4 linked regions of the Tamandua tetradactyla genome follow. The protein of the gene in region 2 interacts with the protein of the main gene of each other region in a pairwise test. Links are inferred from orthologs where the notes say so. Each region holds a gene or a part of one and is shown on either strand. Other genes may lie near its edges. The genes, in order: CDC73, KASH5, TMEM11 and CYBC1.

Region 1 (7,660 bases), on a different chromosome or scaffold from region 2:
CAATATCAATTAAGTCAAAAAAGCAGTTTTAAAATGAATTCCACTTACGGCTGCACGTCGGACATAAACAGGATGAGAAAGGTGCACGTTATTAAGTAGAAATAAGATAGAATCCAATGTGTAGTACTCCCTGGGTTGGCCTTCCTTTCCAGTCCTGAAATAATTAAGGCAAGATTTTTACTCACAATTATAATTCAACTCCTTGGGCTTAAAAATTAATTTTACATATTTACTATTCTATACCCACTTTGCTATCCAATAACGGATTAATCATGGTTAACAAAAATACACATACAATATAAAATCTAGTAAGTAGAAATGTCTTTTGGGCACAAGTAAGCAAATAACAAAGACAGACAATAATAAAAAGCAAGAAGTAAGAAAAGCACTCAAAATTCTTACTCTAAGGTATTTTAATTAGAATTAGGCCCAAACTGGGTTCTGAACTTTGTCAACAGAGGACCCTAACTGTTATGTATTAGATAGGATCCATAAGAGAAAACAATCACACTGTCCAGAGTAGCGCAACTATTATTGGTGCTAAAGCTTACAAGAAATTTATCCTATGGCTCCTGCTAAAGAAGAGACTGATAACATCCTCAAAAACATTCTTCCAGTAAATGAAACAATGAATTTCAAAGGACTCTTATTACACACACCAAATGAGACAAATAATGTAAACCAAAACACAATTCTACTTGTGAAAAAACAATGTGTTCTTGGGGTGCAAACTCTCTAATGAAAGCACATATTACTTAATAAATGTTAATGTCCAATCCCACCCTTCCTACTACAGTCTCCCATACAGAAATAGAACAGTCAATGTATAAATCGAATTCATCTAAATATAGCCCACTATAACCAATCCCAAACCTATTTTTTCGCCAATATTCCTATTTTTCCTCTAAATCAGTGTATGTCGAACCATGCATCACCATCAATTATTTTACCATGGAGGGAAAACATAGAGGTAACAACTAGTTTCTTGGTTTTTTGAAAACAGTGTACAAAAGAATAGAAAAAAATAACAGAATGCACTGTATTCAGTAAGAGTAAATATTGTTTAATGTTATAAATACATGCATACACACATCTATGTATATATTTACATGTCCACATGGACACATACATATAAATTAAATGGAAATATATTTCTTGGTGTGATTTGCAACTGAACTTCTATTCTAAGCATTCCTTTATCACTGGCTTCACTAGACTGTTGTTTGTCACCTTTCCCCTTCTAGTTCTCATGGCTGTATGTACGTTCCCTCATTCAGGAAAGTCTAACCCCCATTTGCACAAACAGAATTCCTACACATTCTTTAAAGCTCATTCATTCATTCATTTATTAAATAAAAATGCAATGGATGTCTATCTGGCAAACAAGCTTCTATGAAACTTTACCTAATACCTCCAGTCAAAAGTGACTGCTCCTTTTATGAGCTAGAAAACACTTCACATCAATTTATCTGTTTTACCTCCTCTACTGCGATTAAGTTAACCTCCTCTGAGGCAGGGCTAGGGTCTTAAAAATTTTTCTGTTCCTCAGATTGATTACGGAACTGCTCTGAATACTGAGTTCTCCCTTTAAATCATTTTATAAAGAAAATAATCTTCATTAGAAATCCAATTAAATGCAATTCTTTCAGTGATAATTCTTTTGAAAATAAAAAGCAGTTAGATAACTCATAAAAATGTCACTTCATCAACATTTCACAAAGCTAATTAAACCATAAACCTCTAGGCCAGAAAACAAAGACCAAAAAAAAACAAAACTAAATTTCCCCTAGCTTTTCATCAACTCTTCACAAAGCCCATTGCTCCCTTCATTACATCCTATTCTACCTATTCGATTAAACAAAACTGAGGATGTAAGTTCGGGCTCAAGGTTCTAATATCCAAATGAAGCACCAAAGATAGTGACATCACTAAAAAGGCCACCAAAGATTATTAAGCCTGTCTCTAGATGTTTTCCGGAGTTATTTAAATTCAAGAAACCCACGTGGATCAACATTCTAAACCATCACTCTTTAACACACTGTCCAAAACCATTCACAGCATCAGTTTCGTACTTAGATCTGTAAAGCTCTATTATTATACATCAAGCAACTTTCTCCCTGAGTAAACTCCCTGCTTTCACATCTAACAAAGATTTTGATGACTACTGCAAATTCACCAAATTTGCTTGCGTCCTGACTTCACAAAGTTGGTTCTCTCTTCTTGAGGGGTAATCCCCCTCCCCAATCACCAATACAGAAAAAAAAAAAAAATAGAACAGCTACAAGCGCAGCGGAGATAGTTACAACACATGGCAGCCACCAAGAGAAGAAAGAAAATAAGGAACAAAAAGAGACGTCTCCGACACCAGACATCGCGCTCCTTTGCATCTATTTTCAGGAATATTTGTGCACCAGCCCTACACAGTGATGGCACCCAATATATATTGGTAAAATCGACTGGCAAAGTCGAAAACTCCCACGTTATCCTTCCCATTTGGCTTTTCAAAGATTTAAAGGGATGGACCACTAAAATGCGCTTTTCCCCTTCCCTCCTCGTCCCAAAAGTGCAACTTCTGCTCTTGAGAGAAACTTTTTCCCAGAGCACCTCTGTTTTACCACATCCCCAAAGGAAACGGGGGGAGGGGTTAAAAAGGAGATCACCTGGGGGCGCCCAACTCTTCCCTACCACCCACGAGCCACAGCCATGCCGGACTTACCCCCAAACTACATAGTTGGTCTTCACATTCTTGGGCCAGGAGAACTCCCCGAAGATCACTTCGTCTCCCTTCACCACAATCTCCTTCTTCTGGATGTTGTACTGTCGCAGAACGCTGAGAACGTCCGCCATCTTCACCCCCCTCGCCGCCGCCGGCCCCGGCCACCGCCGCCGCGCCTGCCTCCTCCTTCTCTGGTCGCCTCGCCCTCCTCCTCCGCCGCCGCCGCCGCTGCCGCCGCCGCGAACCAACAGCAGCACCACTAACAGCCGTCTCGTCTACGACAGCAGCAGGGGTAGCAGCCACCAAGGCCGCCGAGGACCCCGCGCTATATGGCAAGGCCCCGCCGCCGGCTGCCCGCGGAGAACGCCTGACTGCGCGTCTCCAGCGCTGCAAGGCCACCGCCAGGGGGAGCCGCGACCGGTCGGGAAAATGCCCCTCCCAGACTCTTACTTGGCACAGAGCCGACTCACGGCAATAAACGCAGAACGCAGGGATACCGCGCTCGCGTAGGGCGCACGCACGGGGCACATTACCGGGCGCACGCGCGCGGACCACCTACCCACTCTAGGAGCGCTCTCGCCGGGCGACAGGTGCGCGCGCACCTGCACGGCGGGTCAGCCCCTGTTTGACTGGAGAGCGCACAGAGCGTTCAACGACCTGCCTTGAGAGGGGCGGGAGACTTTCTGTTCCCCACCTGGGCGAGAGTGGAACTCGGCAAAGGATTTGCAGAAAGCAAGAATCCTCTTTCTTTCTGAGTCGGACCCTGGCCTAGAAAAAGGGTTCGAGAGCTTAGCAATTCGAATAAGCCCATTTAGAAGGGTGCTTCTTTGTTTTTTTGTTGGTGGTGGTGTGGTTTGTTTTTTTTCGGGGGTGGGAGCGGTGTTTTGATTAGTTGATTTAATGGATTCGCGTGGTGGAAAAGAGCAAGTCCAGAGGAGATGAATTCCGTGAACTGCTATTTATTGGGTGCTATCTGACTTGAGTCAAGTTACATACCTTCTGGCGGCATTGATTGGTTAATGGATAAAATGGAGTTAATATATAGATATTAGCTTCAAGGATGTTGTGAGGATTGGGTGAGAAGGTGAAAGCGTCTAGCAAATCATTAAAATATCGTAAATATTGTATTCCCCACCGTTCCTTACATAATGACTTCCCAACCTATCGCCTAACCCGCTCCCCTAATCCCAAAGGATATAAAAATGGTTCCGTTCTAGGATGCTCATGGAAAAATCAGAGACCAGAAACCTCAAACTGTGCGAATAAGAAAAACACTGTCGGACTACCCTATTTTTATTGGCACCCAGAAGGCTCAATGGTGTCTTTGCTGTGCTCGAAGTGCTGAAATAAATTCAGTATGCTATGACCTGTTCTGTGTGCCTTGAACCAAACATATCCTTTGGGCCCCATAATTTATTATTATTAATATTCCTTTTACTGTAGCAGGGGAGAAGCAGGCAAGTTTGTGATTGACAAAATTTCTTGACTTGCTTTGAAAGATATCAATTTTGGTTATGTACAGAACCGAGGGATATACATATAGAACTATATGGTTCATTTTCGATGTTTTATAGCCATCTTGCACTATGAATTTGAGAAACTTTCCTGTTCTGCAAATATTTTCACCCTTTGATATTTTCCTGAACTTCACCCCAAAACACACACTATAAAGAAAGGATTACTCTTTTATCTATCCCTCACACTGTCTACTATATTCGTACTTATATCGGAACCTCCAGTAGTAATTGACTGTCACATCCCCCACCCACACTCTAGTCTGAAATTTGTAGAATTTTTTAAAATTGGATTAGCTTCATGGTTATTATAAAAACATCACTCATTCTTCTGCATTTCTTGAGTGGGAAATGGCTAAGTTATTTTTGGCATGCCTGCAACATTGCATAACCTGTGCCCATGAGAGTATGTTGTGATTGCAGTCATTTGTCATTTGTGTCAGCAAGGGGGAAAAAAAGTTATAAAAGTATCCACGCAATTTTCTGTCAAAATTAATACATCAAAATAAACCACTTTTTTCTTTTACATCAACATAAATTTAATCCTAATCTCTGGGGCCATTTGGCCACCATAAAAAACTTTTGGTTACAAACCAAGTCATCAAAATGTAATCACATTCAGGGGATGCTAACCGTAATATTTTAACATTTTCCACAGAGGAATAACGAAATGTAGCAACAGTAGAGAATGTATGAAAGTGGCATTATCATAAAAAGCTGTTGTTTTAGTGGAAAATGAAGGTGTGAGATTAAAATAGTGGCAGCTGGATTGAGAGGGCAGGATAAATTCAACATATATTTAGGAAATAGTCTGTAGTTGAAAACAGAAGAGTAAAGAAAAAGAGAAATCTAGGACTTTCTGATTTTTTCTTGATTTCTGTTGATATCCTCCAGCCAAAGACCACCAAGCACATGCCTGTAGTTCAACAAGGTTAAGTTTATTGACTCGTGGAGAGATATAATCTGCACACTATTGGAAACTGTGGGGTGTTTCAGTTAAAGGTAAAGACTTATTGTAGGATTTGTGTTTGTGTTAAGTGATTTGGGGGGAGAATTCAAGAAATCAGGACTTTGCCCTGGATTGGATACTGAGGGAAGCAGGAGTATTTCTATGATTAAGTATCTTAGTACTTTTTGTCCAGAAGGCAAGGAAGAATGAAACATGGTTAAAGTTATAGCTGGTAAAGAAGCAGTGACTCATATTATCCAGTATAGAGGGTTGATTGGGGTCAGTTTTATAGTTTGGACAATGTTCTTGCTTTTGTCAGCATTCAGATATGACTACAAAGTGGTCTTGTTTTGGTCCTGCTCTGTCACTATCACAGAGTTGCTGACATTAGTGCTCTGTGAAATAATGTTTAAAAGGAGAATAGCATGGCGTCTGAGGCTGCTATTCTCTTTCTTAGTACCCTTATTTGGTCAAGAAGAGACAGTCATATCACAGGACATTAATTTTGTGATACTCAGATATTTACCATTGCCATGTCTGTGCTGATCGGAAAGTTGTTAAGGTAACAAAGCCTATAATTGGACTACTGTAGTAATTCTTTTGCTCCTTGTGTTTGCAGATTGAGTTGTTCAAGCCTCTGAACACAAGTGATTACCAGAAACACAATGGTTATTAAACCTTGCAATATATCCTGGTAACAGATCATCAAAACATGTCCCAAAGTCTAGGTGGGACTTTTCTAGATGACTTTTCTTTTAGAATAGTCATGATTGTTTTAATTGTCCTGTAAAATTTACATAGATGCAGCCAAAAAAAAAAAAAAGTGTTTATTATACCATAAAGTCCCCTTGGCAACCTAAAAGGAACTCAAGTGCCATATGATTATCTATGATATCTCTGGCTAATGAATTTAGATTTGGACTTATTTGTTGTTCAAAATGTGCCAGAAGTTGTGTCATTTATAACTTCTGCTAAGGTCAGAAGCAAGATTTGGCCACCATTTCCAGTTGTATTGTTCCCACTGTGGAAATTGCAGCTAACATGGTACACCAGAAGAGGGAATCTGTTATTTCACCTGGAAATTTCCCCAATTAGCCGGAGCTTGCTTCTTTTTTTTTCACTTTTTTTTTTATGGTATAGTATAACATATGTACAAAGCAAAGAAATAAAAAAGCAATAGTTTTTCAAAGCACTCTTCAAAAAGTGGTTACAAGGTAGATCCCAGAGCTTGTCATGGGCTACCACACAATCCTCTCATATTTTTCCTTCTAGCTGCTCCAGAATGTAGGAGGCTATAGGGCTTAAATACTTTCTTATCATCACAATTGACTTTTTTTCCTTCCTTGCTTGTGAACAATAACATATATACAAAAAGCTATAAATTTCCAAGCACAGCACCACAATTAGTTGTAGAAAATATTTCAGACTTTGACATGGGTTACAATTTCACAATTTTAGGTTCTTCTTTTAGCTGCTCTAAAATACTAGAGACTAAGAGATATCAGCTAATGATTCAGCATCCATATTCCTTTGTTAAAGTCTATCTTCTATGTATAATTCCACCATCCCCTTTGATCTCTCCATACCTCTTATTAGGGTTGTTTGGGCTATGGCAGTTCTAAATTTTTCATATTGGAAGGGTCTGTCACTAATGTGGGGTAGGGAGATGGAACTATCTGATGTTCTGGAGAGGCTGGGCTAGGTTTCAGGACTTATCTGGACCAAGGACCCATCTGGATGTTGTAGGTTTCTGGCAAGTTACTCTAGTGCCTGGAACCCTTGTGGAATCTTATAAATTGCCCTAGGTGTTCTTTAGGATTGGCTGGAATGGTCCTAGTTTGGGGTTGGCAGGTAATTATAGGTAACAAGCTTGTATAAGACAAACCTCTAGAGTAGCCTCTTGACTCCATTTGAACTCTCTCTGCCACTGATACTTTATTAATTACACTTCTTTTCTCCCATTTGGTCAGAATGTAATTGTTGATCCCATGGTGCCAGGTCTGGATTCATCCCTGGGAGTCCTCTCCCACGTCACTAGGGAGACTTTCACCCCTGGATGTCATGTCCCACGTAGTAGGGAGGGCAATTATTTCACTTGCAGAGCTTGGTCTTAGAGAGACTGAGGCCACATCTGAACAACAACAGAGGCCCTCCAGAAATAACTGTTAGGCATGCCGATAGGTAGTCTAAGCTTCTCCACTACCTACATAAGCTTCACAAAAGTAAGCCTCATGATCGAGGGCATGGCCTATTGATTTGGGTGTCCCAAAAGCTTGACACAGTATCAGGATTCCCTGATGGTAAGATTTAATAGTTCCACAGTCTTTCTTCCCTCCCTCAGGGGACTTTGCTGATATTTTTTGATTATCTGGTTAATATACTCTAGGATGTTTCCAGGCATTACAATAATCTATACAGGATTAAAGGACCTCTTTCTCATTCTGTGCTTTCTGTGTTTCAGTTGTTCAAATGAGCTGTGCA
Region 2 (7,457 bases):
TGGCCCTGCGTCCCCCATTAGTCTAGGCTTTCCCAGAGGGTGCTGGCAATGCAGAACCAACAATTCTATCACTTCTGGGTATATGGCTTTTGACCAAAGACTTCCTTCTCTCCTGAGTCTCAGCTTTCCCACTTGAGAAAAGGGAATCAGAATATTGTGCTCTCAGGAATAATTTTCTGTCGAAATCCGTACTGCCTGTGGAAAGCTCATCCCAGCTCTGCTTCGCAGCCACACCTCATTGTCAGGACAACTGTTGGGGACAGCCCCATCGCTCCCCTCCACTTGGCAGGTGAGTCTCAGAGAGGGCAACCCAGCACCTGGACGACAACAAGTGCAACACACGATGCTGATAGTGTAAAATATACGCTGATCATAAAGACTTAGCCAGGAAAAGAGGACACAGCTCATCAGTACATTTTCGTTTTTGCCTGGATGCTGGAAGGATACTGTTTTTGGATATACCAGATTAAATAAAATCTATTATTACCATTCATCTTGATTGTTCTTCTTTCTTTCTTTTTTTAATTTGGTTGCTAAAAAACTTTAAAATTTACAGTCACATATGTGGCTCGCGTGATGCTTCTCTTGGGCAGCCCTACCCTGGGGAGTGAGAACACCAGACTGAAGGAAACAGATGAAGGGGGAGTAAGCACGTCAGTGTCGTGATGAAAAGGATAGAAGGAAAGGGGACAGAGTATAACAGGACAGCAGTCTCACATACAGGAAAGAGATGGCATCTGGGCAGAGACCCTAAGGAAGCACAGCATGGGCCTGCCAGGAAGTGGGGAAGGGGGAACAACGTGAGCAGAGGCTTCCTGGCTTCCCCTGAGGAAGGGGAAGTGTCAGCTCCTGCCCCCTGCCCCTCTCCGGGTCCCCAAGTCCCAGCCTGGAACCCCTTTGCTCCTGTTGCTCACCCCCCCCCCCCAGGGCACACAGGGGCCCAGTCACCTACTTTCTGCAGTGCGGCCTCCTGCCTGGCCCTCCGGCAGCTCCATGGGCCACCCCCACTGCTTGGCAGCAGCTGGCAACACTAACAGCCTCTCTCCATCACCAGGAGGGACCTGATCATTCCTGGAAGGACAACGGGCAGGACAGCCTGCTCAGTCGGTCATCCGCAGTTGGGGCCCTCCTGGCGCTCTAACCTGTTTGCCCGCCCCCGCTAGGACTGGGGCAGCTTGCCAGGGCCTGTTTTATGGACTGGAGGTGTGGGCTGGGAAAATGGGGGCCTGAGGGGGGGCGGCAGAGATCAAGGGTGACTAGTGGGGGGGAGGGGGAGGGGAGGGTCGAGTTGGGCAGTCTTCCCTCCTCCCTGAAGCCCCGTCCCTCCTATCTACTGACTACCAGTCTCGCTCTCCTTCCCTAAGGCCCCGGGCTCAGCTCAGGCCTCGTCCTCTCCCCCTGGACTGTATCCCAGCCTCTAGCCTCCTGGTATTACCTCGTCCATCCTCCACCAGGCCCCAGAGTGAATCTGCCCTCCCCTGCTCAATGCCTTTCTGTGGCTCCCCAGCATCCTGGGGACAGAACCTGGACCCTGGGCCTGGCACTTAAGGTCCTGGGTGGCCTGGCCCCACCCATCTCCTTCTCAGACACAGTGTCACAGTCCCTGACCCCTGGCAGCCCTTCCTGTCTCCACTTAAGACGTTCCCTTGGGTAAATGCTCTGCTCCCCACCCTGGGGCTGAGCCAGGAGCTGTCTCTGGGTCCCGCATTGCCTTGGGCCACCAGGGCACCCTGTCACTGGACTTCGGGCTCCCCCTGCTCCCAGTTCTTCCATGGCTCCCTAGTGCCCCAGCCCCATGCAGGGTGGTCCCCAAAATGCCTTCCCTCTTTTTGACATTTTTCTCCGCATCGGCAGACTCCCAGGTCCCCTGCCCTCACCATGCCCCGGGGCAGCTCAGCACGTACTCTCAAACCTGCTCTTCTCCCGGAGAACCACGTTCCCCCAGGCATGGACCACCCCCAGGCACTAGCGTCACTCCTGCCTAGCCCTGGGTAGCCTTCCCAGGGCCCCTCCTCTGAGCTTTGGCCATCCCCCGTGCAATTCTGGTCACAGCCAGCTCCACCACAGGACGGCAGGGGCTGACCCCGGGACATTTCCCAAAGCGACTGGGTGCTGCACTAATTCACTGGGGGGCAGGCGCCATCCGGGCTGACCGCGGCGGGGGTAGGGGGTCTGCGCCCGAGTCGGTGGGGTCCTCAGTGTCCCCACAAAGCGGTACCCCCCCCACCCCGCCCTCTTCCTTCCTCACCATGTCCCCCCTCACCCTGCTCTCTCCAGCTCCCAGCGGGCGCGCGGACTCAGAAGGTCCTAGAAAAAGGGGCGTCTGAAGGGAGACGCTTCCGGGGTTTGGACAACCCTCGGGGGTGCAGAGAGCGACGCTTAACGTGGGGCCTGTGTCCTGCCTAGGTTTCAGGGACTAACTCAGGAAGCGTCACCGAGGCTCGGCTCAGATGAGGAGAGCAGGACCGGGCTTTGACGTACGAGACCCCTGAGGAGCTCGGGCATGAGGGTGTCTCTGATTGGATTTGGGGAGGAATGTCTGACTAGCATATTTCGGGGGTATGATAGGATCTCAGGCGCTCCCTGACAGGATTTCGGGGACTCCCTGAAAGGATTTGTTGGGAAGGTCTGACAGAGAAGCCTGACAGGCTTTCTACAAGATTCTGCCAGGCTTTCAAAGAGGACTCTTACAGGATTTAGAAGCCCTGATTTGGGGCGTCTCGCCTACAGTTTGGGGGTCTTTGTCAGGTTTCCTGGAGCGGCTCTGACACGGATTCTGTGGGGAGTCTCGCTCACGCAGGGCACACCCAGAGCTGCGACCAAATCTCGAGACACCGACGAAGGCCACTAACAAACGACGGCAGTTGCGCGCGGTGAGGGACTGCGCGTGCGAGAGCATGCGCAGCAACTAAGCCCCACCCCTCCCCGCCGTGCTCCCTCCTTGACGCAAGCGCACATCGCTGAGAGGGCGCGAGCTATTCTTGTTGGTTACCTGTAACGGCAGTGTCGCGCATGCGTGGGTCTGCCCGGGCTCGCGCCCACGCTGGTGGCAACTGCGCGTGCGCGTTGGCGAAGCTGGGGCAGTGGATGCGTTTTAACTGTTGCGGCGAAGGAGGGGCAGTTGCGGCGAAGGAGGGGCAGTTGCGGGAGCTTTGCGAGGCCTTGTCTGCTGGTGCCTTAAGCTTCTGCTAAATGACGCTGAGCAAGGCAGAGGAGGACTGAGGGACCGCTCGTCCAGCCCACACCGTGCCCTTCCTACGCTCTGTTCCTTGCCAGGTGGCCCATTCCCGTCACAATGTCCCGCCCTCTCCCTCCTCACGGCTCTCGCTCTCACGCCGGATTCCTTTTGTGACTCCGGGAACGCTGTGTCAGGAGGACCCCGAAGGGTGCTCCTCAAAGCATTTGGTTCGTTCGGCTTGGGAGGAGGGGAAAAGTAGTCCTAGTTTTTCTACATAGAGGAGGAGAATTACAAACAATGGATACTCAAGAAGGGGGGTGTGGGACAAAAGGTGTCCCTTCTTCTCTGCCTCCCTGATAGTCCAGACACAAAAACAGAATCTTATCTACCCTCTCGTTCATTGGGCATCATTCATTCAGCTGTGACGTGCTCAGAATCCTTCCCTGCTAGGCTGTCTACATAGAACCCCTGTCCCTCTAACCACCTTTTCTGTTTACGTGGTCTTCAATGGTTTCACCAGGTGACAGTCTATGTTTAGGTTATTATTATTATTTTTATTTTAACATTTGTTCCCCCTATTATTTATTTTTATTCCATATGTTCTACTCGTTTGTTGACGTGGTAGATAAAAGGAGCATCAGACACAAGGTTTTCACAATCACGCAGTCACACTGTGAAAGCTGTATCATTATACAACCATCCTCAAGAAACATGGCTAAGACTCCATCTCCTTCTGCCTGCTCAGGACCCTCCCTCTTCCAACTCCTCATCTTCTCTCTTTCATAGTTAGCTGTTCATTCCCAACTGGATTCTTCACACTGGGCTTCTAAGCATGCTTGAATCTCTCTCATGAAAGGCAAACAAAATATACTGACTTATTATATAGATATTTCTTCATAGGGTCTAGTATTTTAGACTAGCCAGAAGTTGTTGAACTGTAATCCATTACTCTGGTCGTTGGTAATGATTGTTTAACTATATTGCAAAAATAAGGGTCAGTTGCTGTGTTTGTATGGACCTACTTCTTGATGTTTTGCTTTGTTTCACTGATTTTGTATATATATATACACATGTCAAAACTGCACTGCGTTAGTTAATCTATCTCTATTGTAAGTCTTAAAAGTGAGTAGAGTGCAATGCCAGTGGTCAGTAAGAGGGAGAGGTAAGGGGTATGGGATGTATGGGATTTTTCTTTTTTCTTTTTATTTCTTTCTCTGGAGTAATGTAAATGTTCTAAAAATGATCATTGTGATGAATACAGAAATATGTGATGTATTGTGAACCACTGTTTATTTTGGATGGATTGTGTGGTGTGCAGAGCTATCTCAATAAAATTACATTGAAAAAAAAAAAAAGAAACATGGCTACTGGAACACAGCTCTACATTTTCAGGCAGTTCCCTCCAGCCTCTCCATTACATCTTGAATAAGAAGGTGATATCTACTCAATGCTTAAGAATAACCTCCAGGATAACCTCTCGGCTCCATTTGGAATCTCTCAGCCATTGACACTTTGTCTTCATTTCACTCTTCCCCCTTTTGGTCGAGAAGGTTTTCTCAATCCCTTGATGCTGAATTTCAGCTCATTCTAGGGTTTTCCTTAATCCCTTGATGCTGAGTCTCAGCTCATTCTAGGATTTCTGTCCCACATTGCCAGGAAGGTCCACACCCCTGGGAATCATGTCCCATGTCACGTAGGCAGGGGGAGGGTGGTGAGTTTGCTTGTTGTGTTGGCTGGAGAGAGAGGCCACATCTGAGCAACAAAAGAGGTTCTCCTGGGGATAACTCTTGGGCCTAAATCTTTTTTTTTTGTCTGTCTGTCTGTTTGTTTGTTTGTTTTTCCTTTTCTTTTTTTTTCTTTTTACTATTATTATTATTTTTATTTTTTTCCTCTATATTAACATTCTATATCTTTTTCTGTTGTTTTGCTAGTTCTTTTCTTGGGCCTAAATTTTAAGTAGACTTGACCTATCCTTTGTGGGGTTAAGTTTCATATGAACAACCCCCAAGACTGGGGGCTCAGCCTATAGCTTGGTTGTCCACATTGCTTCTGAGAATATCAAGAATTCAACTTGGGAAAGTTGAATTTCTCTCTGTTCTCACCATTCCCTGAAGGGGACTTTGCAAATACTTTTCCACTCACTGATCGAATCACTCTGGGATTCATCAGGGCATCACTCTGGGCAAACCAACAAAATCTCATGTCCTACCTGAGATTCCAAGTACTTATGGTGTTCAATCAAACTACCTACATAAGTTATCTTAGGAAATGCACTAGTCAAAATATAAATTTTGTGCCAAGTAAACATTGTTTGCTTTAGTCTCACACCTAAGGTGACATTTTAAAATATTAATTACCATCTATTTTCAGCACCCTGCAATAATGACATTCCTTTGTTCTTCCTCATGCAAAAACATTTTAAAAATCTGTACATTTAGTCACTATCATTATACACTCTAGGCATTCCTAGATTATACCATCTCAATCTTTAACATCTTTCTTTCTGATTTCATTTATGCCCCCAGCCCTCCTCCCTCTATCATTCTCACATGCAGCTTCATTCAGTGTTTTAACATAATTGTATTACACTTAGGTAGTATAGTGCTGTCCATTTCTGAGTTTTTGTATTCAGTACTGTTGCACAGTCTGTATCCCTTCAGCTCCAGTTACCCAATATCTTACCCTATTTCTATCTCCTGATGGTCTCTGTTACCAACGAAATATTCCAAGTTTATTCACTAATGTCAGTTCACATCAGTGAGACCATACAGTATTTGTCCTTTTGTTTTTGGCTAGTCTCACTCAGCATAATGTACTCAAGGTCCATCCATGTTGTTACATATTTCATAACTTTATTCTGTCTTAAAACTGCATAATATTCCACCGTATGTATATACCACAGTTTGTTTAGCCACTCGTCTGTTGATGGACATTTTGGCTGTTTCCATCTTTTTGCAATTTTAAATAATGCTGCTATAAACATTGGTGTGCAAATGCCCGTTTGTGTCTTTGCCCTTATGTCCCTTGAGTATTGCCGGGTATTGCCCAGGTCATATGGCAATTCTATACTCAGCATTTTGAGGAACCGCCGAACTGCCATCCACAGCGGTTGTACCATTTGACATTCCCACCAGCAGTGAATAAGTGTGCCTCTTTCTCCACATCCTCTCCAGCACTTGTCATTTTCTGTTTTGTTGATAATGGCCATTCTGGTGGGTGTGAGATGATATCTCATTGTGGTTTTGATTTGCATTTCTCTAATGGCCAGGGAAGTTGAGCTATGTTTAGGTTATTATTGGTAATTTTCTCTAGAATGTGAGCTCTATGCAGACTTTGTTTTGGGACTAGGACATGTCAGGCCCAGTGTGGCAGTCAAAGCATATTTGCTGAATGTATGACTGGGTGGATGAGTGGATGGATGGATGGATGGATGGGTGGATGAATTCAGTAGTCAAGGGTAACTACTGAAGAGTGTAGAGTAATGGCTAAGGCTATGGATCCTGGAGTCAGATACTCTTGGGTTTATACTCTGGCTTCTTCTCTTCCTGTGACATTGGGAAAATGACTTCCCTTCTCAGAGCCTCAGTTTTCATCCCAAAAATAGAGATAATAATGATCTCTTAGGTTACCTGGAGGATTCAAGGGGATAATTCCAGGCTTATACAAGGTCCCTGTTAATTGGTAGTTATTATTTTGGCTATTAGGTGGTGGCCTGTTATAAAGCCTGGGAAGGAACTGGTTTGGCAGGTGGAGTGGTGAAGTGCTTCAAGAGGTGAGGTATGGATTTAAAAAACCTGGTGCCTTTGTTCTGTGACCTTGGAAAGTGGCTTCACTTCCTGAAGCTCAGCTTCCTCTTCTCCAAAATGGAGACAATTGTTACCCACCTCATGGGGCTTTAGGAGAGTTCAGTCAGAATGCATGCCAAGCGTCTTCATAGGACAGCCTGGTCAGTGGTGTATCTCTTAGTTTTATTAACCAGTGTTCTGTCATTCATTGATTGGTTTATTCTACAGTTTTTTTTTTTCCTTTTTTGAGGTCTGGGTAATTAAAAAAACCTTTTTTTTGGTAAAGTTGTAACATACATATAGTTAAATGCCAAATCTTAATATACAGGCCAATAACATTTTAATAAATATACTAGTGTAATCATTGTCTATATTAAGAAAGAGAGGTATCCCTAACACCTCTTTCTAATCATTACTCCCCAAAGATAATCACTGTTGATCATGTTTTCTTTTGCTCATTATTATCTTTCTGAGATCTATCATGCAGCACGGGG
Region 3 (7,853 bases), on a different chromosome or scaffold from region 2:
CTGGCCTGGGAACCTGAACCCTCTACTGGGCATCTCAGACAAGGAGAACAGCACGGCACTGAAGGGTGTTGAAGTAATCCCATGGAATTGGCCACCTAAAGTGAACCACGGCAAGCCAGGGGAGGACAAGGCCATAAAGAGTGATTTAACCCTAACACCTAACGTCTGGCCCCCATAAGCCGGGCACTCTGGACCAGGCTTCACGCAGTGCTGCCACCTCGCATCATAAGCAGAAGCAGTCGGGTCCAACTTTCAGGAGAACACGGAGAGGAACTCCGAGTACGTGGCTAGACTTGCATTCCACCAGTGACCGAGAGAAACTCAGGACGCTCGGGCCCCGTGAGAGTGGACACGAATAGCCAGTCAGATGCCAGGGCTGTCTGAGAGGTGGTCCGAGCGCACCACGGTGGCAGAGCACACGTATACCTGCACTGTACTTTCCTAGGTGGGCAAGGGTGTCTCAGAGACACCGTTGGGACATGTGGCGTCCTGCTGGATGTGCCTGCTGCCAGCATGCTGAGTTCTGGAAAAGAATGCAGGCTACAGGCAGTCTGGCGTTCTTCATTACAGACACAGCTAAGTCCCTCAGTTTAATGGAGTGGGGAGAGAAATCCACACACAAGCAGCTATCCCTTTCCTACTTCCAACCCTCCTACTTCAGTCTAGACCAGTGCTGTCCTATCATTAGAACTTTCTGCAATGGTAAAAATGGTCCATAGCAGCAGTGCTCAATATAGTAGGTTGTGGGCCACAGCGTGGCCACTGAGCCCTTGAAACATGGCTAGGGCAAACAAGATGCTGAAGTTTCCTTTCATTTAAATTAATTTAATTTTAATTGCCATTTGTGGCTAGTGGCTATCAACTGAGCAGCTGTAGTCTTGAGAGCAAAGTAAAGTAAGGCTCCACAAGTGGCAGTGCTCTAAGCTGGACCCTAACCAACAGGCAGCTGACAGGGGCAATAATGAGGGGCTCTGGCACTGGGCAGGCCTTTAAAGGCCATGCCTCAGAGTCTGCAGCCTCTGGCAGATCTGCAAAGTTGGCCAGAAATGTTACTCTGTTCCCGTCCCTGCCCCAAATTAAATGTTTTTGTCAGTTTCAGCATAAAGCAGATTCCAATCAGCAACTCAGTATGTGCAACAACTTGGAAAAGTGATCTTATAATGTCAAGCTGAGATTTGAGTCAGTGCAAACCTAACATGGAACAAAGTAATTTAAGAGAACCATAAACAGCCTGCACAGTCATAAGACCCAATAATACACTCTGGCCTCATAATATATGGTGCTGGGCAATCAATTAATCCCCCTGCCCCACCCGAAACAATCTTTCCACCAACTGGGCAGCAATGGAGGAGTGCCCCAGAAGTCAGCTGGCTGGATAGGCAGCAGGGCAACGCGCCCATCCCTGCTTGGCATGGAAGAATGTAGGAAGCTGGATTCCGGCAAATGACCCTCTGACAGAACCTGGCGAGGGCCTTCCAGCCTAGGCAATCGGCGGGGGAGCCACGCCATGTTATCCGCAGAGAGGGCAGAGGGTGCCACCCAAACCCCAAACCTGATGCAACCTGAATGCCTACGAAGGCAAGCAGGGGCCTGTGATGAGTCCAGCTATCAGGAACTGGTGCACATCTGTCCTGTCCAAAAGAGTCAGCCACTACCCACTGTTCAGGGAAAGGTTTATATGAAATCTCTTCAATCTGCAACTTTTGGCAACTAATGTATTTCTTTTAAAAAGTGAGGGCCAACAGTCAAGGGCTGTTGAATACTTTCCTCAAGCCAAAGAAAACTATCAAAATCAGTAAGCTCTATTTTCTTGAGTTAGTCGAGACCTCAGTTTCTGATGGCACTGCCCTGCGCGATGCCTGGGAATCCCCGTTTGGCCCTCCCGGTTGCTTTCATCCAGTGAGGAAGGCCTTAGCCTCTAAGACCCTGCATTTTCTAAACAGGTTATTTCCTTTTACTGAAGGATAATGTTTGCATTAAAGATCTTGATAGTGTTTCCTAGTTCTTCAGGCCGAATGGAAACCATCAAGGTAGGTTCTTTCTATGGTCTGGTCTGTTGGAGTTAAAAAAACAAAAATACCTGTCTGCCACTGCTTTCCCAAGGAAGAGGAAATACAAACCAGAGGACGAAGACAACCCCGAGCACAAAATAAAACCCATCACAACTGCCAAACAGGAAGGCACTTCTGGGCTAGGACAGCCATGTGCACGCGATAACAGTAATGGATATGTAATGGAATAACAGGTGACAGAGTCACAGAGAAAAACAACGATTCTCACCCAAAAAAAGGAAAGAAAAGCAAAAGCAAAACAAACTTTCTTTTCTTGCTGATCTCTCTTTCTCCAACCAGGCCTTAGAACGGGCAGGGCGGTTGGATGCAGGCGGCCCCCGGCACACACCCTCCCCAAACTTCCAGTGGCCGGACAGTCTCGTGGCTTAAGGAAAAGCTGCGAATTCGACACGAAGCATGAACCCCACCTCCTTCTATCCCACCTTCTAGAAATAGGATCCGAGGATCCGGCCACCTTCAAAGAGACGCGCGCCGAGCCGCCTGCCCAGACGGCTCCCTCGGGAAAGGTCACGGACCGGCCCCTCAGGGCAGCCAGTCGCCGAGGCCGCGCCACAGGACCCAGGCTCGCCGCGGGGGAAGGCGAGGCCGCCGCGGGGGCGTGCAGACGTGCAGGGCCCGGCCGCGGGCCACGGCCTCCCCCGCCCGGCCGCCCCCGGGCCCGCCTGGCCACCTGGGGGCCGCGGCCGCGAAGGCCACGCGCACGGCCGGGCGGCGGGAGCTCCGGGCGGTCCTCGGGCCCGCGCCCGCCGCGTCCTCTCGCCCGGCCGCGGCCCCCTCTGCTCGCCAGGATCCCCCGGACTCCCCGCGCTCCGCGGCGCCTCCTCGGCCCTCTCCGAGCGGGCGCCGGCTCCCACCCGGATCCCGGGGCCTCGCGACTGGATCCCCGGAGCCCGGCTAGCGGGCACGGCCGGAAGGAGCGCGCGCGGCTGCGGCAGGGAGAGCGCCGCCCGCGGGATGCGCCGCGCGCCCGGCCCTCTCACCTCTCTCGGGCGCTGCCGCCGCTGCTGCCCGGGCCCAGGCGCCTCCTTCCCCACGCGGCCATCTTGGAGACACTCTGCTTGCGAGCGCCTCTGCCCCGGCGGCCGCGGGGCAGCGCGGGGGCCGACGGGACGTGGAGTCCGGCCCGGCCCGCGGCGGCGCGGGAGGCGGAAGCCGGGCCCACTGCGGAACCACTGCGCCCACAATGCACCGCGCAGCCGGAAGCCCCGCCCTTCGCAGGCCTCCCGGGACCTGGAGTCGGCCGGCGCGCGGGAGCGGGCCCGCCCTGGAAGGGTCCCGGTGGCGGCACTGTCTTAGAGCTTACAACCGCAGGGTTCAGACCTTCCGGTCGCAGAGCCCACCGGCTTCCCGTGCTTGGGTTTGTCGGGCAAGGAGGGGCGGGAAGGGCGCGCCTACGACTCCCAGAGGGCCGCGGGAGGCGCCCCGCGTGCGCGCCCTGCGCCGCCGCCAGCCCCGCCGCCAGCCCCACCGCCCTAGCGGAGGCCTCCCGGCCCGCTCTTCCCGTCCTTCCCGCCGGCCTCGGCCCGCTCAGGTCACGGATGGGCGAGGTGCCGCACGGCCCTTTTCGGAGGTAGTCGCCGCTCCCGCTCCGTCCCCTCAGCTTTGCCGGACCCTGCGGTCATTTCGGGCCTCAGACCGACGTGGTCCCTGCTGCCTCGGTGGCCGGTTGTCGGAGGCGAAAGCAAGGAACAGAAATAATGATACGTCATTGTTCTGAAGGACATAAGGATCTGCAGAAAGAAAAGCAAGGAGGGCCTATTTTAGGTAGGGCCAGCGGGTCCTGGGAACCCCTGCCCCACAGCCCGCTTCCCTGGCTGCCTTGGCAGGACCCTGATCTCACACTCCCGGTATCTTTGAAAACATATGCTGGGCGTATCATCCCACCCAACGGAACCTTGCCCCAGGACCTGGCATTTCCCTGTCTGGACACTGCCCTGGAATCAGTGTGAGGGTGGACTAACCAGACCTATAGGCTGTTTGGGGGATATCTTGCAGTTTTTGAACTTATGGTTCCTCTTCTGCTTTCCAGAGATAATGTTACCAGACATATTCGTTAGTTCCAGAAGTGTTTATTGAGCAACTAATACAAGTGCGAATCTGAGGTTCAGGGACAGTCCCTGTTCTGTATAGCCTATCTAGGGAAACTTCTCAAGCCAAGCAGGAGGGTGTAAAGTGACTCATCATTGAAGAGTCCTTTGGATTTCCTTCCAGGTCCCATTCTACGATATTTTTATCTGCTTAAAATTTCAGTCCCTCATTATTTGCAGGATGAAGTCCAAGCTCCTTAAGCACAATGTAGAGGCACCTAAATTTGGTAGCTTCCTACCTCTCAGACTCTCCTGCCTGGAACCCCTCCATTCTAGTAAGTAAGAGGGTTTGTGTGGCCCCAGATGTTTCATGCTTTGCCTAAAATACCTTTCCCTCCAGGCAAACTTTTGCTGTGAGACTTTGGACTTGTCTGATGTCTAGGAAGTACTGCTTTTCCAGTTGGATCACACACCCTCCTCCAGGTGCCATAAGTAGTTCACTATACAGACCTCTGAATAGTTGCCATACTACCTTGTTACTATCTATGAATATATCTGTCCTTTTCTCTGTGCCTGGAGCTTATAAAGGACAATACAGTGGGGGGTGACTGAGAGGTTTAATAGTGATTCTAGAACACCTGGTTGTGAAGCATATATTGTAAGAGTGCTAGCAATACTAAATGAGATGATACATGGATAGAATTTAGAACAGTGCTTGGCACAAGGTCACAATAACCACTTCTTTCAGTCTTCATAACAACCCGATAAAAGCACAGCTATTGTCAACATTCTCACTTTATAAATAGGGAAATTGAGTTACAGAGGGTTGTGTTACCAAGGCCACACTGCTGCTAAGGAGCAGCACTTGGATTTGACCCCGGGCTGGCTGCTTGCAGAGATTACTCCTCTCCTGCACTCAGGAAGAGCTTTGCAAACGCTGTCATTGTCTGTGAAAATGAGGTTCAAGTCATTGCCAGATGTACAACGTAAGTGAAAATGCTCAAAAAACTTGACCCAGGATGAACTTCCCATGTCTCCAGCTTTTCCATTACCCACTTAATTTCTAAATAGCCATCTGTTTCCAATCTGCTGACTTGAGCTGAGATTCCCAGAATGCTTCTTCATCACTGTTGGTGCACATGCAACATTGGGAAGGTTCAGAGATAGATTTGATTCATTCAGGATGAATTAACCAAGAACCTGAGGACACAACTTGACTGTGGAGTTGGAATTCCCATGGGCTGTCATGCAGTGGAGACTCCTGAAGAGCCAATGTAAAAGGTAGGTCCAAGCTGATAAAAAAAAAAAAAAAAAAAGTCTGCTGGATAGGACTGTGGGAAGATGACAGAGTAGGAAGCTCCAGGAGGAAGTCCCTCCAGTGAAATAGTTATTGGACTGGCGGGAACTGTCTGAAGCAACTCTTTTGAACACTGGTGTCAAAGGGAACACTGCTGCACCCAGGGAAAAGCTGGATAAAAGGGCAGGTAAGCTGCAGTACATATTGGTGAATTTCACCTTCCATGCAGCGACTACCACCCCCCCACCCCCCAACCATGTGGCAGGCAGCAGTGGGATGCAGCCCAGGTTCCTGGTATAGCTTGCTGGTACCAAGGTGGACTATAGGACATTAGTCCTCCAAAATGTGGGAGTGTGTGGTCTGCTCACTGATCACATGTTTGATCAGCTACGTCAGGTGCTGGGGTGGCTGGCCCTGAGGCTGTCATTGTGCCAAAGCACCAGAGGAGTCATAAAGATATAGCACACATTTTTTTTTTTTCTTTTCTCTTTCCATTCCCTGTTTGGGAGCAAAAGTACTTAGGAAAAGTCACAAATTGATGGCTTGAGCCCTTGATGGCAAAAATTATAATCCCACAGAAGTGGGAGAATGATATTTACGGACTTATAAGAGCATAATACTCAAAATGTCCAGTTCTCAAGAAAAAATTAAAATATACAAAGAAGCAGGAAATTATGGTCTAGTCACAAAAAAATTTGCCAAAATCATCTTTAAAGAAGTTTATACATTAGAATTATTAGTGAAACACTTTAAATAAACTTTTAAATATGTTCAGTGAGATAAAGGAAATCATACACAAACTAAAATAAATTAGGAAATTATTGTGTGAACAAAATATACAGAAATTATAAAAAGGAACCAAACAAATTTTGGAGCTGCAAAGAACAGTAATTGAAATGAAACACCCATTGGAAGAACTCAACAGCAGATTTGAATAAGCAGAATAAAGGATCAACAAACTTGAAGAAAAGACATGAAATTATCCAGTGTGGGGAGCAAAGTGAAAAAATAATGAAGAAAAATGAACAGAGCCTGAGGGGCCTGTGGGACACCATCACGTAAGCATCAAGTAAGCATTACCATCACTGGAGTCCCAGAAGGAAAAGTGGGAGAGAAAGGAGCAGCAAAAGTATATGAATAAATAATAGCTAACTTTCAGGAGGATGGTGGGCTGGAGTGGAGTGACTACACTCCTGCTCCATGAAACAGGATAGATGATGGGGGTAGGGGAAATACCCATGACTGCAGGTCCCAGGTCCTAGGAGTTCAGTTGGGCCTTCTGCATGGTAGTCAACCATTCTGCCACTGGAGTATGTGTACACCCTGGCTGACCTTATAATAGACCCTTAACTTGAATTGTATCCCCTACATGAGATCCAGACCTTGATTTGGCAGAGAATAACAAAGTATAAAAGGAAACGTTGAGCAGAAACCAAGTAAATACAAAACTTTAGAAGAGTGAAGGAAACCAACTTGCATAATAACCATATCAAGATAAATGCCCAGAACACCCCAGAAAATCACAAAGCACACAAATATCCAAGCAGAAATGGCCTAGTCAAACGGCCCAATGGAAATTTCAGAGGGGACACAGAATGTGGAACAACTACTCAAGGATATTTTTAAGGAAATAAAGGCTATCAGAAAGACACTGGAAGAGCATAATGAAGAATTCAGGAGGCTGAATAGAAAAATGGCAGATCTCACAGAAATGAAAGATACAGTAGACCAACTAAAAAATATACTCGAGATGCACAATAGCAGATTCAAAGAAGTGGAAGGAAGAGTGAGTGAACTAGAAGATAGACCAGTAGAACTAGAGAGCACAAAAGAATAAATGGCAAGAAAGATGGAAAAAATGCAACTGGGTCTTAGGGAAATGATGGATAACAAGAGGCACAAAAATATAAGAATTATTAGTGTCCCACAAGAAGAAGAGAAGAGCAAAGGGTTGGGAAAGTTAGTTGAAGATATAATTCAAAAAAACTTCCCAACCCTCAAAGACACAAATATGTACATCAAAGAGGCCCAGCAAACTTCAAATAGAATAAATTTGAACAAGCCCACTCCAAGACACATACTAATCAAACTGTCAGGTATTGAAAAGAAACAAAATCCTGAAAGCATCATGAGAAAAACAATCTACTACATACAAGGGAAAACACAGAAGACTGACTTCAGACTACTCATTAGGCACCATGGAAGCAAAAAGGCAATGGTATGATATTTTTAAGATCCTGAATGAGAAAGGCTTTCAACCAAGAATTCTTTTATCTGGCCAACTTATCCTTCAAAACTGAGGGAGAGATTAACAACTTCAAAGATAAAGAAAGATTGAGAGAACTAGTCAACAAGAGACCAGCCCTATAAGAAATACTAAAGGGAGCCCTGTCAGTTGATAAAAAAAAAAAAGACAGGAAAAGGAGGTCTGGGGATGGGCACAGAGTTGAATATAAG
Region 4 (8,217 bases), on a different chromosome or scaffold from region 2:
CAAGCAGAGGCTGCTGGTAGGTTTGGGGACCCAGCAAAGGTGTCCACTAGGAGGCTGTCCCTCCCCAGCACCTCCGCCCACACCACAGCCATCCTGGCAGAGAGCTGGCTGGATCTGACCCGTCTGCCAGATCTGCAGCACTGCTGTGCCTGCTCCATCAAGCGGGATGCCCGCCCTCCCAGGTACTTGTCCAGGGGCAATCAGGTGGCATGGGGTGTGGTGGTGGAAAGCTAGGAACGCTAATAGGAGGCAGTGTCCAGTGTGGGTTCACCCTGTATCAGAGTCCCAGGCAGATGTTAAAGAGTAGCTTTTAGGAGAACATTCATGACACAGGAAAACGCTTATCTATATGAGGCCAAAGCAGCAGGCAGCCCAGGTCGGGTACCCGCGCCTGAGAACAGACATGCTGGCCACTCCAGGCCACTGCTGCACTGTGGCGGGGTCCCCGAGGGTCATGAGGGACAGTTTCCCCTTCTTTTCGCTATTTTCCGAACAGCTGGGCAAGTCAAGAACCAGGCCCTTTACCTCCACTGTAGTAGGCAGCAGCCAGGCCAATAGACAGGATTCCTGGAAAAGAGAATGAGAGCCTCTGTCTGGCTGTCCACCCAGGGTCCTACCTCCTCCCTGACCCAGCGGTGCTGGCTCCAGGGCTCTCACATGCCTTGGCCCCAGGACCACAGCCCCAGGCAAACAGGCCCTTCCCCTTGCCAGGGGTGGCTGCAGACGGGATGGAGGGGTGGGGGCAGGATGGAAGAGGAAAGCCTGGGATTCAGAAGTGGGGGGACAGCTAAGAAATTCATCTGAAACCCTGATACTGGCCTCCACAAGCACCCCTGAAAACGTCCAAGGCAGGGCCTGGTGCTCAGGTGCGGAACAAGGACAGACATATGGCAGCCAGGAGGCCAAGCAGAACCCCGGCCAGGGTCGCAGGGAACAGCACAGTTGCCCCTGAGCTCCTGCTGGGCAGGTATGTGGAGGGGCAGCTCCAGACCAGTACAAGGTGCTGAAGATGTAAACCACTGAGCACAGAGCAGGGGCCGGGATGGGGGGGCCCAGAGAGCAGGGGAAGAGTCTCACTGAGACCAGATAAGTGGCAAAGAGAGATGCCTTGTTTGTAAAACATGAATACAGGAAAAACTGAAAAGCATACGAAGAAACAAAATGTGGCCTCTCTCTCCAGCCAACACAATGAGTAGTCTCACCACCCTCCCCCTCTCTGCGTGGGACATGACTCCCAGGGGTGTGGACCTTCCTGGCAACGTGGGACAGAGATTCTGGAATGAGCTGAGACTCAGCATCAAGGGACTGAGAAAAACCCTAGAATGAGCTGAGAATTAACATCAAGGGATTGAGAGAACCTTCTTGATCAAAGGGGAAGAGTGAAATGAGACTAAGTGTCAATGGCTGAGAGATTTCAAACAGAGTCAAGAGGTTATCCTGGAGGTTATTCTTATGCATTAAGTAGATATCACCTTGTTGTTCAAGATGTAGTGGGGAGGCTGGAGGGAACTGCCTGAAAATGTAGAGCTGTGTTCCAGTAGCCATGTTTCTTAATGATGATTGAACAATGATACAGCTTTCACAATGTGACTCTGTGAATGTGAAAACCTTGTGTCTGATGCTCCTTTTATCTACTATACCAACAAAAGAGTAGAACATATGGAATAAAAATAAATAGGGGGAACAAATGTTAAAATAAATTTAGTTTGAAATGCTAGTGGCAAATGAAAGCAAGGGGTAAGGGGTATGGTATGTATAATCTTTTTTTCTCTGTTATCATTTTATTTCTTTTTCTGTTGCCTTTTTATTTCTATTTCTAAATCAATGCAAATGTTCTAAGAAATTATGAATATGCAGCTATGTGATATTAAGAATTACTGATTGTATATGTAGAATGGAATATCTTAATGTTTTGTTAATTTTTTTAATTAATAAAAAAAAAATAGTGGCTGTATTCCGGGGGTAGTAAAACAAGGAATTTTTCATTTCATTTTTATTCTTCTTCCAAAGTCAGTGTTTCTTTTGTTTCTTAGAGAAATAAATCCTTACCGACCAGGAGCGACCAGGACCTGATGCCAGGTGCCCTCCTCAAATGCAGGCGGGAGCCCGTGCGCACCTCCACCTGCATGTACATCTCTGCGGTCTGGGGGCGCCGCGCAGAAGGCCGAGGCTGCGGGGACAGATGCCAGCCATGAGGCCCCTCAAGCCCGCCACCTGCCCCTCCTTGGCCCTGGCCATCTCAGGGCCCGCCCCTCCGCCATCACCCCCGCAAGGGCAGCACCCCCACTAGCCAAGGTGAGTGGTCTCTACAGTGTGTGGAGTCGGCCCCAGGGTCTGCTTCCCCCTGAAGCTCTTCTGTGGAGGGTCGCACCCGCCCCACCGGCTGCGTCCGCCGCCGAGAGGAAGCGGGAAGGAGCGCGAGGGCGCGGCTAGTCCGAGTCACGCTCTGAGCTCGCCTGCTGCTAGGACAGGCCCACGTCGTTTGCTCAAATCACGCAGACTAACCCTAGACTTCGCCCCGCCGCCGCCCCACGCCCCCGGTCCTCCCTCCCAGCCCGGTTATCCAGGACAGCTGCGCCCCCCGCGGACCCCGGCGCCTCGGGCCGCCGTCACTTCCTGCAGCCAAGCTCTCTTGCTCCGTTTCCAGCTGCCTCCCCAAGGAGAAAGCCGCACGACAGCAGTGCCTCGTCAGTGGGGCTCGCCCCGGGGCCCATGCGAGCCGCAAGGCGGGCTGGGGCGCAGGCCCTCCACGAAGAGTGCGGGCCGCCACTCGGTCAACCCGCGAAAGGACACAAGCGCGGGAAGGGACGCGCCCGTCAAACCGCCGTGAGAGCGGCGTCCGGGCGGAGAGAGCGGCGGCGCGCACGCGTCCGCCTTCCTCATCGCGAGGGGACCGGGCCCTGCCCGCCTCCTCGGCGCCAGACGCGCTTCTCGTCTACTGGGCCGAGCCCACCCACCCCCAGACCCCGGCCAGTGAAAGCCCCGCGCGCGCTTCCCGACTTCCGTTTTCGAGGGGCCACTAGGAAAGCCGGCGCGGCGCCCGTGGGAACGGCCTCCCCTCCCGCCCTCACGGCTCCGCCACACCCGGAGGGCAGCCGGGGACCAAGGAGTCCTACCGAGAAGCCGTGCGCACCTGTGCCGCCGCGAAGGACCCCGGCCGCGCGGCGAAAGTGGAAGGCGAGGACCCGCGGCGTTCGCTTCCGGGCTCGCCAGGCAGGTCGGCACCCACTTCCGGGCTCATGGGAGAGGGCGGTGCTCACTTCCAGGATCAGGGTTCCGGGGCGGGATTCATTTCCGGGATCGCGGAGGTGGGGCGGAGTCCACTTCCGGGCCAAGCGAGGCCCATCTGTGTCGGTAACCGGAAGCCTGAGGATTCGCCAGTTGCCCTTACCTGTGTCCTGTCGACGGCTGCTCGCGTGTGACCGGTTTATTGAAATCTTAATGCGTGTAAACATGTGTAAATTATACCCCAGAAACAGCTGGTAAAAATAGTTTCAAGAATATGATCTATTGAGAGAAACTATAATAAATAAACACACACATTTCATAGAAAAAAAAAAAGAATATGATCTACGTAGAAATGTCTAGCAAAAGTTGTGCAAGAAGTTTACAGTAAAAAGTGTAAACCCTTTGGTGAGCGACGTAGAACTAAGAGTTGTTCATGGATTGGAAGGTTCAATATTCTGAAGATGTCAGTTCTCCTAATGTGATCTGTAGATTCAATGCAATTCCAATAAAGATACAAATAGAGGTAAAAAAAAAAATTGAAGATAACTAGCATTTCTCATGCACACAGTGAGAGAAAGGCAGATGAGCATGTCTGGATCCTTGACTTAGAAAACCTTCAGTGTAGCTGGGAAAACGAAACATTCACGCATGTTTGTAAACCCCACAGATGGCATTTTTTCTGTTATTAACTTGGCCCAATCTTTAGGAAGGAAGGATGTAGTCGGAGACATTTTATTCCACAGGAACAGCTTGTCAGGGCCTACTAAGTGTCCTCTCTTCCTCACTCTACTAAATTTTCACTGATTTTTGCTGCTAAATAGCTGAAGAACAGCCTTCCCAGATCACTTTTCAATTTCCAGCCAGATAGAAGAGGAAGGACCCTACCTGGAACTGGAGAGTCTCTACCACACAACCACTGCCCACTGCAGTGGTCTCCAAAGTGAGATTGCCAGGATGACTGTGGGGTGCTGGATTTATATTTGTTTTTATCTTTTTATACCTTTTTGTAATTTATATAAATATTAATACAATTGTGCATAACATAGTTTTATAAATGCATACTCATACACTGGTCTGCAAAAACTCATGAGTTTTATCGATAGGTACATGCTCAGAAAATTTGGAGATAACTGTTATAGTTTCTTCAGATACTCAATGCATGTGATACTCAAACTTTAGTATCTGTCCTTTAGTATCTGTCCGAATCTCCTGGAGGGCTTGCTAAAACACAGATTGGAGGACCTTGTTCGCAGAGTTTCAAATGTACTATGTATTGGGTGGGGCTCTGAGAATTTGCTGTTCCTGGGACCACTCTTTGAGAACCACTGCTCTAAGCTGCCACAAAACTATGCTCTGCCTGAACACTAGAGCTTCCCTGACCTAATGCTTCAGCTTATGTTGCATCTTTTTGAAATGGCCTACTTCACTGTTAAGGTTGTACACTGTTTTTAAGGTCTATTTTAATTGTCAGAACCTCCTTTAAGTCCTTCCTGATTACTGCAACTAGAATTTTGTGTGTTGGAATTTAAATAGGACAAACTGACATCTCAGTTATTGATATCCAGCAAATTCTACTTTGCATTATAGTTATTTACACAATTTCACCTTTCCTGCTAGACTATTTGCTATTTAAAAATAAAGACACAAGCATTCTACAAATGTTAAGTTGAACAAGTTATATCTGATTTTGTTAAAAGTCCTGCTGAATATTGGTAATAGCAAAAGACTGGAAATAAACACACTAACCACTAATAGAGGATTACTTGAATAAAATGCATATGTTGTGCCAATTATCATTATATTTTATCTCAGCTCCAAATTCATCCTTCATTGTCTGCTCTGTGAAGATGGATCTGAGTGCTTCATTTTCTCCTGTAGCAGTGTGAAGCTTTGTCAGTAGAGGGCACTGCAGAGACATTGCAGGAAGAGGCCCTCTTGGTCCCTGGTTCTGCCCAGCTTTGCTCTGCGGACTCTTGAAGCACACAGGGCTTCTGTGGCATCCAGCCTCTTTGGTGCCCGTCAGCCAGCAGCACCCAGTGTCCAGCAGCTTCCCCTGGTGCCCTCCTGGCTATTGGTAGCAAAGTGCCTCTGGTGAGACACCTCTTGTGCCATTTTTCCCTAGCACGCTGGAGGGCAGATTTTCAGCAACTTCTGCCAACAACAGTGATTTATTTGCCAACCAGTGAGTCACAGCTGAGCCCTCTCCAACAAAGTCTCCAACAAAACCCCAGGCGGTGGGATGGAGTTCTTCATTGAAGAACTGGTGGTAAAGAGATTGAGGGGAAGAGGTGGCAGCTCCTTATTTCTGCTGTTCCTACAGTCTTCACATTTCTCCTAGTCTTAATGTCTCTCCACGTGCGAATTGACTTATAGTTAATAAATCTTTATATTAAACTCCCCCCGTTTAAGTTGTTGTGTGGGTTCTGTCTTCTGATTGGACCCTGACAAATACATACAACCCTCATGATGGAGTGCTATGCAGCTATGAAAAGGAATGAGTATCTTTATATTACTATAGAATGCGCTCATCCATATATATTTGATTGAGAAAAGCAGGGTTGAGAAAGTATGTGTTTTATGCCATAGATTAAGAAGGGTATGTATGGGGGTGTAAATATATATATATATATATATCCATATTTTTTGAAATGGATAGTAGAGTTAGCATTGTTAGCATCGTTAGCATTGTTAGTCTGAGCCTGTTATGTGGGTAATATGAGATAAAGGAGATGAATAATTATGTAGGTGCCATGGAGAAATTGAAATTTCAGTACAGGAGAAAGGAGTCACAGATATAATTTCAATGAGGCTAAATAAGATTCCTGTATTCTTGATTTTGAATTAGAAAAACCTATATGAACTTATGTTATATTTTGCATGTGTTATGTTTCCTAGTACTGTTTGCTGAAAGGTCCTAGAAAAAATGACCAACCCAATAGCAATGAGCAACTCTAGTACCCGTTTTCTGTTTTTTCAATACCAATTCATTCTAAAGGCATCATGATTTTTGGAGAAATACTAATTCCAAGTCTGAAGCAAGAAATTTATAAGGAAATGTATCAGAAAGAAAGAAGATACTAAAGACCGTTAGTTCTTGTCAAAAGAATTCAGGAACCTAAATAAGAGATTCACACTACTTTAAAAAAAAAAAAAAGGATTATTTGAGCATCAGTAAGAAAAATTACAATGAATTGAAAATCATCAGGTTTTTAAATCCATGGATTTATAACGCTATGTGAGAAATGGTAGAATTTAAACATCACTTTCATGACCTACAATGGATCTAGACAATTTCATCAATGGCTGCTAAGAGCACAAGACAACATTTAGGTAACAGAATCTCCTCATGGAATTATACATCATCTATGAAGTACTCTTGCTAAACACCTTGATTCTGAATCTGATCAAACTTCTAGAGTTATCCAAGGACCTATTTACAGGAGCTTCCAAATACAAAGGGATATGCTAAAGGACCCCACAGAGATGCAGTTGACCACAGTGGGGAACCCTACAGGGAAAAAACCTATTTCTTTTTTTTTTTTTTTTAATTTTGTTATTAATTAAAAAAAATTACGGGAAAGAAACACAAACATTCTTAATATGTGATCATTCTACTCTACATATATAATCAGTCATTCATAATATCACATACTTGCATATTCATCATCATCATAATTTCTTAGAACATTTGCATCGATTCAGAAAAAGAAATGAAGACAACAGAAAAATAAAACAAAAACAGAAAAAAAAACTATACACACCATACCCCTTACTCTTCCCTTTCATTAATCACTAGCATTTCAAACTAAATTTATTTTAACATTTGTTCCCCCTATTATTTATTTTTATTCCATATGTTCTACTCATCTGTTGACAAGGTAGATAAAAGGAGCATCAGACACAAGATTTTCACAATCACACAGTCACACTGTGAAAGCTATACCATTATACAATCATCATCAAGAAACATGGCTACTGGAACACAGCTGTACATTTTCAGGCAGTTCCCTCTAGCCTCTCCATTTCCTCTTGGATAACAAGGTGATATCTACTTAATGGGTAAGAATAACCTCCAGGATAACCTTTCGACTCTGTTTGGAATCTCTCGGCCATTGACACTTTGTCTCATTTCACTCTTCCCCTTTTGGTTGAGAGGATTTTCTCAATCCCTAGATGCTGATTCCCAGCTCATTCTCAGATTTCTGTCCCACGTTGCCAGGAAGGTCCACATCCCTGGGAGTCACGTCCCACGTAGACAGGGGGAGGGTGGTGAGTTTGCTTGTTGTGTTGGCTGGAGAGAGAGGCCACATCTGAGCAACAAAAGAGGTTCTCGTGGGGGTGACTCTTAGGCCTAATTTTAAGTAGACTTGACCTATCCTTTGTTGGGTTAAGTTTCATATGAACAACACCCAAGACTGGGGGCTCAGCCTATAGCTTTGGTTGTCCACACTGCTTGTGAGAATATCAAGAATTCAACTTGTGGAAGTTGAATTTCTCCCCGTTCTCACCATTCCCCAAAGGGGACTTTGCAAATACTTTTCCGCTCACTGATCAAATCACTCTGGACAAACCAACAAAATCTCACGTCCTACCCGAGGTTCCATGTACTTATGTTGTTCAACCAAGCTATCTACATAAGTTATATTAGGAAATGCACTAGTCAAAATATAAATTTTGTACCAAATAAACATTTTTTGCTTTAGTCTCACACAGAAGTTGAAATTTTAAAATATTACCATTTATTTTCAGCACCCTGCAGTAATGACGTTCCTTTGTTCTTCCTCATGCAAAAACATTTTTTAAATTTGTACATTTAGTCACTGTCGTTATACACTCTAGGCATTCCTAGATTATACCATTTCAATCTTTATCGTCTAGCTTTCTTTCTGATTTCATTTGTGCTTCCAACCCTCCTCCCTCTATCATTCTCACATTCAGCTTCATTCAATGTTTTAACATAATTGTATTACAGCTAGGTAGTATTGTGCT

Evidence for each region.
Region 1: the proteins of KASH5 (region 2) and CDC73 interact in binary tests that used the Homo sapiens proteins (3 or more experiments, as listed by UniProt). The two-hybrid records come from large-scale screens. The link is inferred for Tamandua tetradactyla from reciprocal best matches to the Homo sapiens genes KASH5 and CDC73.
Region 3: the proteins of KASH5 (region 2) and TMEM11 interact in binary tests that used the Homo sapiens proteins (3 or more experiments, as listed by UniProt). The two-hybrid records come from large-scale screens. The link is inferred for Tamandua tetradactyla from reciprocal best matches to the Homo sapiens genes KASH5 and TMEM11.
Region 4: the proteins of KASH5 (region 2) and CYBC1 interact in binary tests that used the Homo sapiens proteins (3 or more experiments, as listed by UniProt). The two-hybrid records come from large-scale screens. The link is inferred for Tamandua tetradactyla from reciprocal best matches to the Homo sapiens genes KASH5 and CYBC1.

Annotation. Positions count from the first base shown.
Region 1 is NC_135330.1:49,025,999-49,033,658, reverse strand, and holds the start of CDC73 (parafibromin), read right to left. Parts: upstream 3,256-7,660; 5' UTR 2,848-3,255; coding exon 2,717-2,847; intron 155-2,716; coding exon 49-154; intron 1-48.
Region 2 is NC_135342.1:11,710,356-11,717,812, forward strand, and holds the start of KASH5 (protein KASH5), read right to left. Parts: upstream 3,122-7,457; 5' UTR 2,993-3,121; intron 2,887-2,992; exon of another isoform or gene 2,692-2,886; intron 2,308-2,691; exon of another isoform or gene 2,264-2,307; intron 1,072-2,263; 5' UTR 996-1,071; coding exon 953-995; intron 488-952; exon of another isoform or gene 229-487; intron 1-228. UniProt on the Homo sapiens protein: As a component of the LINC (LInker of Nucleoskeleton and Cytoskeleton) complex, involved in the connection between the nuclear lamina and the cytoskeleton.
Region 3 is NC_135332.1:244,265-252,117, reverse strand, and holds the start of TMEM11 (transmembrane protein 11, mitochondrial), read right to left. Parts: upstream 3,161-7,853; 5' UTR 3,115-3,160; coding exon of another isoform or gene 3,053-3,114; intron 1-3,052. UniProt on the Homo sapiens protein: Plays a role in mitochondrial morphogenesis.
Region 4 is NC_135332.1:74,723,993-74,732,209, forward strand, and holds the start of CYBC1 (cytochrome b-245 chaperone 1), read right to left. Parts: upstream 3,237-8,217; 5' UTR 3,134-3,236; exon of another isoform or gene 3,117-3,133; intron 2,171-3,116; 5' UTR 2,135-2,170; coding exon 2,050-2,134; intron 568-2,049; coding exon 526-567; intron 1-525. UniProt on the Homo sapiens protein: Functions as a chaperone necessary for a stable expression of the CYBA and CYBB subunits of the cytochrome b-245 heterodimer. Controls the phagocyte respiratory burst and is essential for innate immunity.